Linked DNA regions of Macaca mulatta. The protein of the gene in region 3 interacts with the protein of the main gene of each other region in a biochemical or structural test. Links are inferred from orthologs where the notes say so. Each region holds a gene or a part of one and is shown on either strand. Other genes may lie near its edges.

Region 1 (4,260 bases), on a different chromosome or scaffold from region 3:
CTCTTCTTACCTGGAGCCTCTTGTATGCTCCTGACAGTTTTCTTTGAAATCGTTTGGCTTAAATCAGTTTCGGAAGATGGTTCATCCTCTAAAAAACAGACGTAACTAGAGTTAAAATTCAGAATATATGACCTGGGAGATAATGGCACAGATTATGCATTTTTGTAATAATACATATGCAAAAATGCAAGAAATTCATTTCTTTAGAAACAGGTGGTTAGGTTTACCAAAATTTAGGAATTAAACTAGTCAGAACTCCTCTTGGGACAGAATACAACTAATTCGTTAGAATATAGTAATATTTGCCACTGTTGTTTTACAAAAATATATCATTTCAGAAAATCAAAAAGATGGGGTAGAGAATCACAAACAATGTGGAAGAATGCAGAAGAGTGAAAATGTTTAGATCTTTAAAGATTTAATAAAATAGGGGTAAATTCTTTACTTGTTAAAAAAATGTTAGCCTATATAACTGCACTAGGCTCTGTGGGACTCAATACAATGTAACATATTTATTGCCTACCTTGTGCAAAGCATTCTTCCAGGTACTGAAAGATACTGAATTAAACCAAGTACTTAAATTACTATCAAATATATATGATAGGCTCCTTGTCTGCAAAAACTTTGTAATTTTTTTTTTTTTTTTTTTTGAGACGGAGTCTCGCTGTGTCGCCCAGGCTGGAGTGCAGTGGCCGGATCTCAGCTCACTGCAAGCTCCGCCTCCCGGGTTTTTACGCCATTCTCCTGCCTCAGCCTCCCGAGTAGCCGGGACTACAGGCGCCCGCCACCTCGCCCGGCTAGTTTTTTGTATTTTTTAGTAGAGACGGGGTTTCACCGTGTTAGCCAGGATGGTCTCGAACTCCTGACCTCGTGATCCGCCCGTCTCGGCCTCCCAAAGTGCTGGGATTACAGGCTTGAGCCACCGCGCCCGGCCAAAACTTTGTAATCTTAAAAGAGATAAAACACACATATATATGGGCTAAACTGTCTTGAGTTGCTACACCCAAAAGTAACTGACACAACTTTAACATAAAGTTGCCAAAATCAAGTCTTCAAATCTGTCAGTACCTTCACGAGTCAGCAGGTAAACTTGCAGCCTATCATCGTGCTGTAAGCTGAAAACCCACTCCTCCGCATATCAATAGTCTACCACAAACTATGTCTTCCCATTGTGACTCAGGTCCGCTGATTTTTACCTCACAGGTGCCTTACGTGGGACTAACATGAAACTTCATCTGTGACTCAGTGTTGGGTCCCAAAATGGGGGGGCAGGGTGGGAGAGGATAGGTTAAGGAAACTGATTCACCTATGACTTACCTAACACTATACATTCACTCTGTCAGCATCCCTTTTGTCCATTTAGACGAAAACTAATTAATAGTATTGTTTTTCAGGTTGCTTTGTCAGCCTGATTTGCCAGACTACTTGAGGTTACAGTGACGGCCACCAAAGTGGCAGATTTTTGGCAGGGACCACCACACTGGAGAAAGAGCAATCAGCTCAAGTTTATCAGACACTGGGGAACATGAGTTCAGGAAAAATGAGTTACCCCATTTCGGTGTAAGTATTGGGTGAGGTCTCAAATCAATTAACTAAACTCAGCAATCCCTCGAAATGCCCACTCACAAAATTTCTCCTTTCTCTCTCTCCACCTGGGTGGGGAGGGAAAACGACTGAAAGGTTTGATCCTCAGCTGGAGACTCTGGCCTGCCAGCGTTAAAAAAGGAAATGGAAGTGGTTTCCGTAGAAACATCCGCAGGGTAGACGAAACCAAAATGAAACCGAACCTGGAGTAATTCGCTGTCCCCTCGTGAAGGCCTGCAGAAAAAGGCAGCCCTGACTCCCCTAAATTGATGCCCGATGTTGGTCAGAGCGCCCCAGCCCTGCCCGGGTCGCTCCATACGACCATCTTTCCACTCCTTAGGTCGGCGCTTCCTTCCCCGCTGCGGGTCAGGATGGCCCTTGCACGGCGACACACGTCCAGAAGGGACTGAGGAGTACCCAGTACCCAATCCCAGTACTTAGTACCCAGGCGGGGATGAGCTCCACGGAGGCGCGCGCCCGCCCCCGCGCGTTCCCTGGCTCGCGGCTGGGACTGTTACCTCCGCGGTCCTCACCTTCAGAGGAATGACAGTCCCGCAGCCCTCTCCTGGTCGTAACGGGAGACGGCTGTAGCGGAGGCTGCTGTGAGTACTGCTGCTGAAGGCGGGTAGCCCTTCGCGTCTGCATCTCTTCGGCTTCCTGGAGTCGCGGCAGCCTCCGCCGCTGCCTAGAACGAAGGTAGTACGCGCTTTCTCTCACTTCCTCTTTCGCAGAATCGGGCCGGAACTCTTCTAGCCGGCTTCGTTTTCCCACCGGGGACCTTTCTTTGGCCACCAGGGGCTCGAAGTCTCCGTACACTTCTGGCGGCTCCTCCGAGAACCTCACTTCCCGCCGGCCCTGGCGCGACAGAGGAGTTCCGTACGCAGGCGCGTCGCTGCTGCCGCCATTTTGAGGGGCGAGCCGGCCCCTTCCTTCTCGGATGGGGGCCCTGGGAGTGACGTACACACCCCATCCTTCCCGCACCGCCTCCGCCCGCGGTCCCTCGCCCGCCATAGTTGTTGACGTAGCTTTAGTTGATCGCGAGGATGGCTTTCTGGATCCTAGGTTCTCCTGCCGGTGGCGGCGATGGCTTCTCGGGTGTGTTAGGCGGTGGTCGCTGTGGTCAGGGAGGCAGTTGCGAGTCGCCGGGGCCGCCGCCTGCGTCGTCGCTGCTGTGTAGCAAACCTGCCTCTGGGCCCATGGTGTGTCTTGAGGGCTGTGGAAGAGGCAGTGCCTGAGCTGGGTCAGCTGCTGTGGGTCGCTCCCGCCTCCTGGCTGGAGACACCAAAGAGGAGGAGAAGGGGGAGGAGGACGTCTCTGCCTTCGGCCTTCAGTAAAGGAGGGGTGGGGGCGACGGAAGGGTGGCAGGGCAAATTGCCTGTCCCAAGTCGAGCCGCTCGTGGCAAGTTTTGACTGCATATAGGAGACGCCCGTCCTATCTCCCACTACCAAGTCTGCGGGAAAAGGAGTGAGACGAGGGTGAAGAAGACCAGGTTTCGCTTCTCGGCCCCAGGCTGTTGCGCAGTTTCCCTGGAATCGTTTTGATCGACTGCTACGTTGAGCATGTCCTTCCCAGTGTCCTTAGCAGGAGCGATGGCCAGAGAGATAACTTTTGCACATGTCATGTTTTCGTGGCAAAAATTTTAGTTTCAAGTTCCTTATGAAGGCGGTTACCTAGTTTTAAATTTTGTCACCTGTTGAGGTTGTACAAAATCCTGTCTACAGTCATACTCTTTGAATGTATTTTCTTTTCCGAAATGTACCCATAGGAAACATGACCTTATTCCTGGTCTTTAATATTTCTTGGTTTTATACCAAGCAGCACTGTTCGGAAGACCATGTTAGTGCTACATTGTGCACAGTGAGGAACACGTTTTTTTATTAAAGACAGTACTGTAATTTTAAGTTGTGATCCATTATTTTTACTTTTATTCTGGATATGACGTGATACTCTACATTTGATTTAAAATGCTTTCTGGACTTTCTGGAATAAGCATGGTAAAAGCTATTTGTTTCACCTCCATATACCATGTTTATAGATGTGGCTAATCTGCAAATACCTAACCAAATTTAGACACACTCAGAGAAGGTCGATTAAGTTCGTGTAAAGTCTGAATAATTATTGAAAAAAAGCTCAAATCACCTTCAAATATACAACTTCTTGTGGGACTTGCTATGATTGGAGTGAACAGATTTTAAAAATTGTAATTTGGATACCAGTTACAATGAGTGATTCTGAAAAGTTTGAAGGTGTTTGTTTATTCTTCCAAGTAATCACCTTAAAATGCTTCTGAGCAACTCATTTGTTGCTCAGACTTGGCACAAATTTCAACTACTTAGGTCGTAATGTGTACTACGTTTTTAGTTTTTATTTTATTTTATTTTGAGACGGAGTTTGCTCTGTCACCCAGGCTGGAGTGCAGTGGCACGATCTTGGCTCACTGCAAGCTCCGCCTCCAGGGTTCACGCCTTTCTCCTGCCTCAGCCTCCCCAGCAGCTGGGACTACAGGTGCCAGCCGCCACGTCCGGCTAGTTTTTTGTATTTTTAGTAGTGACGGGGTTTCACCGTGTTAGCCAGGATGGTCTGGATCTCTTGACCTCGTGATTCGCCCGCCTCGGCCTCCCAAAGTGCTGGGATTACAGGCATAAGCCACTGCGCCTGGCAGTGTACTATGTTTT
Region 2 (4,397 bases), on a different chromosome or scaffold from region 3:
ATTAAAAAGTAACAAGGCACAGGAGGTTCCCACAAACTGAGATGGCTGCTGTGAGGTGTACCACTACACATTTGGACTGACTTTGAAGTGGTTCTCTTGAAGTATTCTTTTGTAAAATATGGAGACAGATATCCTTTTATACAATGCCTTTTTATGCAATGCTCAAAGACAAAGAAAATTATTAAGATTTACACAAAAGGAATCAAAATCAAAGGCACTTTATAAGCAATTAAAAATCATATTTTGTAGTTAATTTTTTTGTCAAAAACAAATTGATCAGTAAAGTTACTTAACATTCATTCCCTATAAAAATGAGAATAATGATACCTATGAGGCTTAAATACAAAAATATATAAGAAAAACCTGTGTGAAGTGTTATAGTTTTTTGACAGCCTAGCTGGGAGGCTAGCCAACTTGCCGTCTTTATATTTTTCTCAGTACTCTTTTGTAAAATTTAATTTTACACATTAAAAACTTTCATCCCCAATGCCTACACGGTGCCTAGTGTATAGTAAGAACTCTGTATTTTAACTTAAAAGCATATGAAAAAATAAATGAATATATAAATAAAGAGTGATGCCATAGATAAACTGGAAGGGAAGAGAAGAGTTAGGGACAGACTCTTCTTTCTGCCACTGTGAACACTTAGCATAAGTGTTTGGAGGGTTCCTTATCACTGCTTTTATCTTCTTCAAGCTCCTGGGACTGGGCTTTCAAGCCATCATATGTTGCAGTGAAGTTTTCTCTCCTATCCTAGCTCATGACAGAAAATAAAAAGTCCCCAGTCCTTTTCAAGTTTCTTTAAAAAAATTTTTCCTGCCAGCCAAAACCAAGAAAATAGGTTAAAAGTTTCCTATGTACCAATAACAAAAATTTTCAAAAGCAAAGATGCTACTCACAATAACCATAAGGAACCTAGAATAAAAACTAAAACATACCTAGTATTAAATCCAACAAGAGATATGCAAGATCTTTAGACAGTGGTGAATTTTATGGTATGTAAATTATACCTCAATAAAGCTGTTTCTTTAAAACACAACTTTAGAGAGAAAAATACAGAACTTTATTGAAGTATATAAAAAAGACATAAGTAAACAGAAAAATATATCATGAGTAGACAGTAAGACTCAAAACCATTGATGCCAATTTTCTCCAAATTAATCTACAAATTTAATGCAATTTGAAACAAAATCTCAAGTTTTTTGATAATTGTTGGTTTCTAGTGAAATGGAAAACCTGATCCTAAAATTCAAAAAGAGCAGCAAAGGATCAAGAAGAGTCAGCATAATTCTGAAGAAGAAGGGGGCAATCTTTACCAGATATCAAACCTTCTTTAAACTTAAAAGTAGGCTGGGCATGGTGGCTCATGCCTGTAATTCCTGCACTTTGGGAGGCTGAGAAAGGCAGATCACCCAAGGGTCAGGAGTTCGAGACCAGCCTGGCCAATATGGTGAAACCCCATCTCTATTAAAAATACAAAAATTAGCCAGGCATGGTGGTGCATGCCTGTAATCCCAGCTACTCAGGAGGCTGAGGCAGGAGAATCATTTGAACCCAGGAGGCAGAGGTTGCAGTGAGCCCAGATTGCACCACTGCATTCCAGCCTGGGTGACAAAGCAAGACTCCGTCACCAAAAAAAAAAAAAAAAAAAATCTTAAAGTAATAAAAGCAATGGAACACTGGCACAGGAATAGACAAACAATATACAGAATAGAGAGTAAAGAAGTATACGCAGCATACATACATAAGGAAATTGGCTAATTCAGCAAAGGGAAATAATGAATTAGTGAATAAATAGTTTGGGGACAACTGACTATTCAAATGGGGGGAAAATTAGATTTCTGTCTCCTACTTCAGATAAAAATCAAGTCCATATGAAAGACCTAAATGTAAAAAGTAAAACTTTTAAACTTTGAGAATATCAAATATCTTTATAACTGCAAGGGTTTCTTAAATAAGATACACAATACACAAACCAGAAAGTAAAATGTGACAAACGTGACCCCATTAAAAAATTTTTAATTTCTACACAAGGTATCAAAATTAAAAGATAAGTGTCTGACTAGAAAAACATCTGCAACATATAAAACCAGTAAGGAGTTAATATTGAGAACACATAAAGAATTCCACAAATCAGTACAAGACAAATAATGCTATGAAAAACTGGGTAAAGGGATGAACAAGCAGTTCAACAAAGAGGAAATATGAAAACATAATGAATATGAAAAAAGACTAGTTAAGGAAATACAACCCCAATGACAAGTAAACTGTTATTACAACTTCAGAGAGAAATATGGCAAAGAAAATTAAGGCAAACATATTCTACAAATCAGCAACTCCATTTTTAGACGTATAACAGAGAAACTCATTCATATGCCCCAAAATATCCACTGCTGTATTGTTTAAAATGAGGAAAAATGAGAAAATCTATATGTTCATTAATAAGAAAGTAGGTTTGAAAAATTGTCATATTCTTACAATGTAATATTATACATAGCAATTCAAATAAATTAGATTATCTTTAAAAGTTGTAAAATTACAGCACTGAAGTACTGATGACCAGGTACAATGGCTCACACCTGTAATATCAGCACTTTCAGAGGTCAAGGCTGACAGATTAATTGAGCTTAGGAGTGCAAGACCAGCCTGGACATGGTGAAACCCCATCTCTACAAAAAAAAATAACAAAAACTAGCCGGGCGTGGTGGTGCATACCTGTAGTCCCAGCTGCTGAGGTGGGAGGATCACTTGAGCCCAGGAGGCAGAGGTTGCAGTGAGCCAAGATCACGCCACTGCACTCCAGCCTGGGCGACAGAGCGAAACTCTATCTCAAAAAAGAAAAAAAAAATGTTGAATATCTTTACTGAGGTGGTGGTTCCATTTGTTATCAAACTTAAAATCTGTACGTTAATTGTATGTGACATAGATTATCCTCAATAAACTTTATGGCAAACAAACAGAACTGAGGGCTTTCAAAAATATATTACTCGGTTACTAGGTTGCAGTCCAAAAGAATCTGCAAAGGTGCCATCACAGATATTTCTATAATCTTACAAATGCTTAACATACACTTTTCCTGTCACAAAGCACACGTAGATCCTATAGCCCACTTCATTCAGACCTTCTGTAACATATCATCACTGTTTATAGTTGAAATGGCATTTCCCTCACAGTGCAAGAAGTGGGACAAACAAGAGTTCTTGACAAATCCTCAGATAAGATCACATGGCAGGGTATCTGAGAGATCTGGAGGCCACTGTTCCAGAGGCAAGTCAATCTTTCTTTTTTTTTTCCTCCAAGATAGAATCTTGCTCTATGACATAGACTGGAGTGCAGTGGTGTAATCTCGGCTCACTGCAACCTCCAACTCCCAAGTTCAAGCAATTCTCATGCCTCAGCCTTCGTAGCTGGGACTACAGCTGCGTACCACCATGCCTAGCTAATTTTTGTGTTTTTAGTACACACAGGGTCTCACCATGTTGCCCAGGCTGGTCTCAAACTCCTGGCCTCAAGTGATCTGCCCGCCACAGCCTCACGAAGTGCTGGGATTACAGTCATGAGACAACGCGCTCAGCCAGGCAGGTCAATCTTTTGAACGGTGTCTGATCCCTATCAGGATATGCGTTTATTAGGAACCTCGGGACTGCATAATGGAAGTGAGGCAGAGCCTCATCCTGAAGGAAAATGGGGTAGTTGGAGCTTTCTATAGCTGTAGGGAAAAACACTCCATAAGCATGTCCCAAAATAGATGCTTTTGACAGTATCTTCTACAAGGAACTGATGAGACCTGTGTGCTTCACATGGCAACGAAAGACATTCACTTTGAGTGAATCCCTTGCAAGTTCAATTACGAAATGGTGTTCAGTGCTCTATCCATGGCGGTTATAGTGATTCAGATTTCTACTTAAATAAAATGTAGCCTCATCACTGACAGTCATTTCCACCTCCCTGTGACCCTGAAATCTGCAGCAAAACTTGCATCATTTTGCTTTAGTTGTCTCCATCAAGGCTTGTAACAGGTTAAGGCTGTAAGGTTTTATTCTCCATTTATGGAGAACATACTAGATGGCCGGCTGAGGGATGCCTTGCTTAATTTCTATTTCCTGGGACTTCTCTAAGAGGGACACATTTACCTCACTGCTTCCTCTGTAAATGTGGCTGCCTTGTGCTCTGTCTTCTAAGATGTACCCTTTCTGCTTCATCTCACTCACTGTAAAATGGTAAACGCTTTGACTACCCGGTAGGTGACATTGTGTGGTATACCAGATGACTTTTGCGTTGAAGTTACATAACCAAGTTTAGAAGGTTCCAACATACAATATTAAGTGCTATAAGGCTAACTACGATTCAGTACATATTACACGTTTCTAAATTTGGGCCAGGTATGATGGCTCACA
Region 3 (4,502 bases):
GGTGAAACCCTGTCTCTACTAAAAATACAAAAATTAGCTGGGTGTGGTGGCGGGCGCCTGTAATCCCAGCTACTTGGGAGGCTGAGGCAGGAGAATCACTTGAACCCGGGAGGCAGAGTTTGCAGTGAGCCCAGATGGAGATTGTGCCATTGAACTCCAGCCTGGGCTACAAGAGTGAAACTCAGTCTCAAAAAATAAACAAATAATAACTTTTGCCCACCTTGCAGGTCTGTTACAAGGATCTAAAAGGCAACAGTTAACATTTATTTGTAACATGCACCAGGCACATGTTACACACTTGACAGACAGAGTTCCCTGGATTGTTACAAGCAACACTTTGTAAGTCAGAACCTGAGTCTCAGGTCAGGCAACTGTCCTAAGACTATGGAGCTGGGAGAGTGTTAGGACTCAAATCCAGATGTGTCTGCTGCCAAAGCCCAAGCTGCTAATCAGTGAGTTCAACCATAAAAGCTGTTTGCCGCTGGGCGAGGTGGCCCACACTTGTAATCCTAGCACTTTGGGAGGCTGAGGTGGGCAGATCACTTGAGGTCGGGAGTTCGAGACCAGTCTGGCCAATGTGGGGAAACCCCATCTCTACTAGAAATACAAAGATTAGCCGGGTGTGGTGGTGCATGCCTGTAGTCACAGCTACTCGGGAGGCTGAGGCAGGAGAATCGCTTGAACCCAGAAGGCGGAGGTTGCCGTGAGACAAGATGGCGTCACTGCACTCCAGCCTAGACAACAGAGTGAGACCCTGACTCAAAGAAAAAAAAAGGGCAGTTTGCAACAGTAGGTTCAACAAACTTAGGACTCTCTACATATGTTTTCTCTTTCACAAAATGAGTGAGATGTGACCGGGCATGGTGGCTCACACCTGTAATCCCAGCACTTTGGGAGGCTGAGCTGGGCGGATCACCTGAGGTCAGGAGTTCGAGACCAGCCTGGCCAAGTTGGCAAAACCCCATCTCTACTAAAAATATAAAAATTAGCTGGGCATGGTAGCAGGAGCCTGTTATCCCAGCTACCTGGGAGGCTAAGGCAGGAGAATTGCTTGAACTAGGAGGCAGAGGTTGCAGTGAGCTGAGATCATGCCATTGCACTCCAGCCTGGGTAGCAAGAGTGAAACTTCATCTCAAAATAAAAGAAAAAAAAAAACAAAAAACGAGTGAGATGTGTTGATCTCTAAGATGGATTAGATCATGTCCACCTCTAAAATCCCATGACCCTACAAACTCACTGGACCGATTTTCAGAACCCACCACAAAGCTTTGATGGTGTTAACTGCTCCACGCATCTCAAACTCTAACTTCTACACCTTTCCAAGGGGAACTGAGACGTGAACCGTTTTCAGGGCTCACTCATTTCAACACAGAATTTCCAAATCTCATCCCACAACGAAGAGACCCCAAACCCGACGACATCCAGGAAGGGATTCCAAACTCCCATCCTTGCCTTGTACAAGGTGATGTTTGAAGCATGTGGAAAGTGCAATGTGGCCACAAACAGGTGGACATAGTCACTGTTCAGACCACCCTCGTAAATATTCTCTGCGATGATCTTGCTGACGAAATTTTTGCCGGTGCCTGTCCACCCGTGCAGGGAGAGGGTGAGAGGTTTCTTGGGCTTCGGATTGTTTATGAAACCAAACACAGCATTTAAGATGATTTTCTTTGCAAGATGCTGTCCAAAGAGCTTGTTGTCCAGATCCTTCTGCAATGCTGGGGGAGACAAAGCCAATCAGGAGTGGGGAAGAAACAGTGACAAAAGGCAGCCACATTTACAGCCCATGAGAAAGCCAGCAAAGCCGTCTAGCTCTTCAAGCACCTTGTGAAACCTCAAGTACTGCGGTCTGTAAGCTCCTGGCCCAGAGGGGACGGTGGTCCAGGGAGCCCTCCCTTTGCTGGTCCTGCCTATTCTAAAGCCCTGGCCCGGTTCCTTCCCGAAAAGGCCCTTGGTGCGGGTGCCACTGCCACTGCCACTGCCACCAGTTTGCACCTCTAACCCCTGTGCTGCTCCTCCCACCCCAAGGCAGGGCGGGGAAAGAAAGCAGTTTGGTCCCTCCCGGTCGCCTCCGAAGAAGTCCTCACCATCCTTCCTGTCTCCCGCTAGGCTATAAAGGAAGCAGAGCCCACTTCGGAGGGAGATTACCACCGGTCCACCCCCAGCTTAGCACAAAGTAGGCCAACCTGCAGCCCGGCTCCTCAGGTCTCCAACTGAAGTCTGGCCCGTCTGTGGTGGCCAAGGGGCCAGGCCTCATCCTGCAGGGGCCGCTCGGCTTCCGGGGTCCGGCCCGCACGGACTCAGCTCTGCCCAGGCCCGACCCTCCTGGGATTTGATCCCTATCCCGGCCCGGCCCTAGTGCCATCCCCCAGCCCCAGTCCCCGCCCCGATCCCCAGCCCCCAAGCCCCGCTCCAGCCCTAGTCCTAGTCCGGCCCTAGTGCGATTCACCAGCCCCAGCCCCAGCCCGGCCCGGCCCTAGTGCCATCGCCCAGCCCCCAAGCCCCGCTCCAGCCCTAGTCCTAGTCCGGCCCCGGTGCCATCCCCCCGCCTCCATCCTCCATCCTCCATCCCCTGGTCCTAGCCCAGCCCTAGTGCCATCTCCCAGCCCCAGCCTCCAGCCTCCAGCCTCCAGCCCCCGCCCCAGCCTCCAGCCCCCGCCCCAGCCCCCGCCCCAGCCCCCGCCCCTGCCTACCCTCCCTGCTAAGGCTCCGCTTCTGCCCGCAGCACTCGGCGAAGAGGCAGTAGAGACGCGGGTAGATGTAGCCGGTGAGGACGCCGGCCAGGGCCAGTCCCAGGCTGATGGGCTCCACCGCCTGCACCACGGACGGCGCCAGCAGCAGCAGGCCCAACGCGGCCCAGCCCAGCTTCATGCCCGGACCCGCGCCACCCTGCGCGTTCTCGCGCCGACCGCGAACCAGTACCGCCGCCAGACCCGCGCTTCCGGTTCCTCCTCGCGCGGAGGCCATCTTTCTTCAGGGCAGCCCTCCTCCCGACGCCGGCGGCCGCCATCTTTGTTCGGTACAAAGCCCTGTTTTGCTTCCGGAAGGTCGGATCTGCACCGCCCCCGTCGGCCACGTGTTTTTGTTTGTTTATTTTAAAGTAATGGACGTTATTTTTGCCGGGCGTGGTGGCTCACGCCTGTAATCCCAGCCCTTTGGGAGGCTGAGGCGGGTGTATCACCTGAGGTCAGGAGTTCGAGACCAGCCTCACCAACATGGTGAAACCACGTCTTCTACTAAAAATATAAAATCAGCCAGGTGTGGTGGTAGGCACCTAGCTACTGGGGAGGCTGACGCATGAGAATCGCTTGAACCCAGGAGGCGCAGGTTGCAGTGAGCTGAGATCCCACCACTATACTCCAGCCTGGGCGACAGAGCAAGACTGTGTCCCTCCCCCCAAAAAATAATAATGGACGTTAATTTTTAGAACAGATTTACAGAAAAAATTGTAAGAGTACAGAGTTCCCATGTGCCACACCTCCCTGCAATTACCCGTTACTAAATTCTTACATTATTAGTGTATTACATTTGTTAAAATTAACGAAGCACTGTTGTTATATTAACTAAAGTGTACAGTTTATTCGGATTTCCTTCCTTTTACTTATGCCTTTTTCTGCTCCAGGTTTCCATTCAGGATACATTAATTTGTTATGTCTTAGACTCCTGTTAGTGACAGTGTCTCGGCCTTTTATTTTTATTTTTATTTTAGCTGGAGTGCAGTGGTGTGATCTCAGCTCACTGCAACCTCCGCCTCCCAGGTTCAAGTGATTCTCCTGTCTCAGCCTCCCGAGCAGCTGGGATTACAGGCATACACCACCATACCTGGCTAATTTTTGTATTTTTGGTAAAGACGGGGTTTCACCATGTTGGCCAGGATGGTCTTGATCTCCTGACCTTGTGATTCACCCACCTCAGCCTCCCAAAGTGCTGGGATTACAGGTGTGGGCCACCATGCCTGGCCTCAGCCTTTTATTTTTGATGACCTTGACAGTTTTGAGGAGTACTGCCACAATCTTTGGTAGGCTGGCCCTCTACTGGAATTTGATGTTTTTCTCAGGATTAGACTAGCGCTATGGGGTTTTGGAAGGAAGATCACAGAGGTAAAGTGCTATGCTCATCACATTCTACCAAGGAAGGGTTCTTACTGTCAACATTACCTATCACTGTTGGTGCTGACTTGATCACTTGACTGAGGTAGTATCAAGTCTCCGCACCGTACACTTATTCTTCTCCCCACCCCTCTTTTCTCTACTGTACTCTTTGGAAGGAGGTCCCCATGCACAGCCCACACATTAAGGAGTTAGGGATTTTGCTCCACCTCCTTGGGAGCAGAGTATCTGCAGAGATTATCTGGAATTCTGCATGGGAGATTTGTTTTTTCTCCCCCATGTATTCAATCATTTATATCAGTATGGACCATTGTTATTTTATCCTTTGTGTTATAATACAGTACTAATTTTTTTTTTTCTCAAATTGTTCTCATTTTGGCCACGGGGAATTTA

Evidence for each region.
Region 1: the proteins of TOR1A (region 3) and TOR1AIP1 form a complex in vitro, tested with the Homo sapiens proteins (2 studies listed by BioGRID and IntAct). The link is inferred for Macaca mulatta from reciprocal best matches to the Homo sapiens genes TOR1A and TOR1AIP1.
Region 2: the proteins of TOR1A (region 3) and torsin-1A-interacting protein 2 form a complex in vitro, tested with the Homo sapiens proteins (4 studies listed by BioGRID and IntAct, with this or other methods). The link is inferred for Macaca mulatta from reciprocal best matches to the Homo sapiens genes TOR1A and TOR1AIP2.

The regions. Positions count from the first base shown.
Region 1 is NC_133406.1:37,288,119-37,292,378, reverse strand, and holds the start of TOR1AIP1 (torsin-1A-interacting protein 1), read right to left. Parts: upstream 2,814-4,260; 5' UTR 2,783-2,813; coding exon of another isoform or gene 2,705-2,782; 5' UTR 2,596-2,704; coding exon 2,118-2,595; intron 89-2,117; coding exon 11-88; intron 1-10. Other genes in the region: uncharacterized protein LOC144340607, read right to left, coding at 2,705-2,782. UniProt on the Homo sapiens protein: Required for nuclear membrane integrity. Induces TOR1A and TOR1B ATPase activity and is required for their location on the nuclear membrane. Binds to A- and B-type lamins. Possible role in membrane attachment and assembly of the nuclear lamina.
Region 2 is NC_133406.1:37,259,656-37,264,052, forward strand, and holds the start of torsin-1A-interacting protein 2, read right to left. Parts: upstream 2,832-4,397; 5' UTR 2,716-2,831; intron 1-2,715. UniProt on the Homo sapiens protein: Required for endoplasmic reticulum integrity. Regulates the distribution of TOR1A between the endoplasmic reticulum and the nuclear envelope as well as induces TOR1A, TOR1B and TOR3A ATPase activity.
Region 3 is NC_133420.1:17,787,255-17,791,756, reverse strand, and holds the start of TOR1A (torsin-1A), read right to left. Parts: upstream 2,921-4,502; 5' UTR 2,872-2,920; coding exon 2,694-2,871; intron 1,719-2,693; coding exon 1,453-1,718; intron 1-1,452. UniProt on the Homo sapiens protein: Protein with chaperone functions important for the control of protein folding, processing, stability and localization as well as for the reduction of misfolded protein aggregates.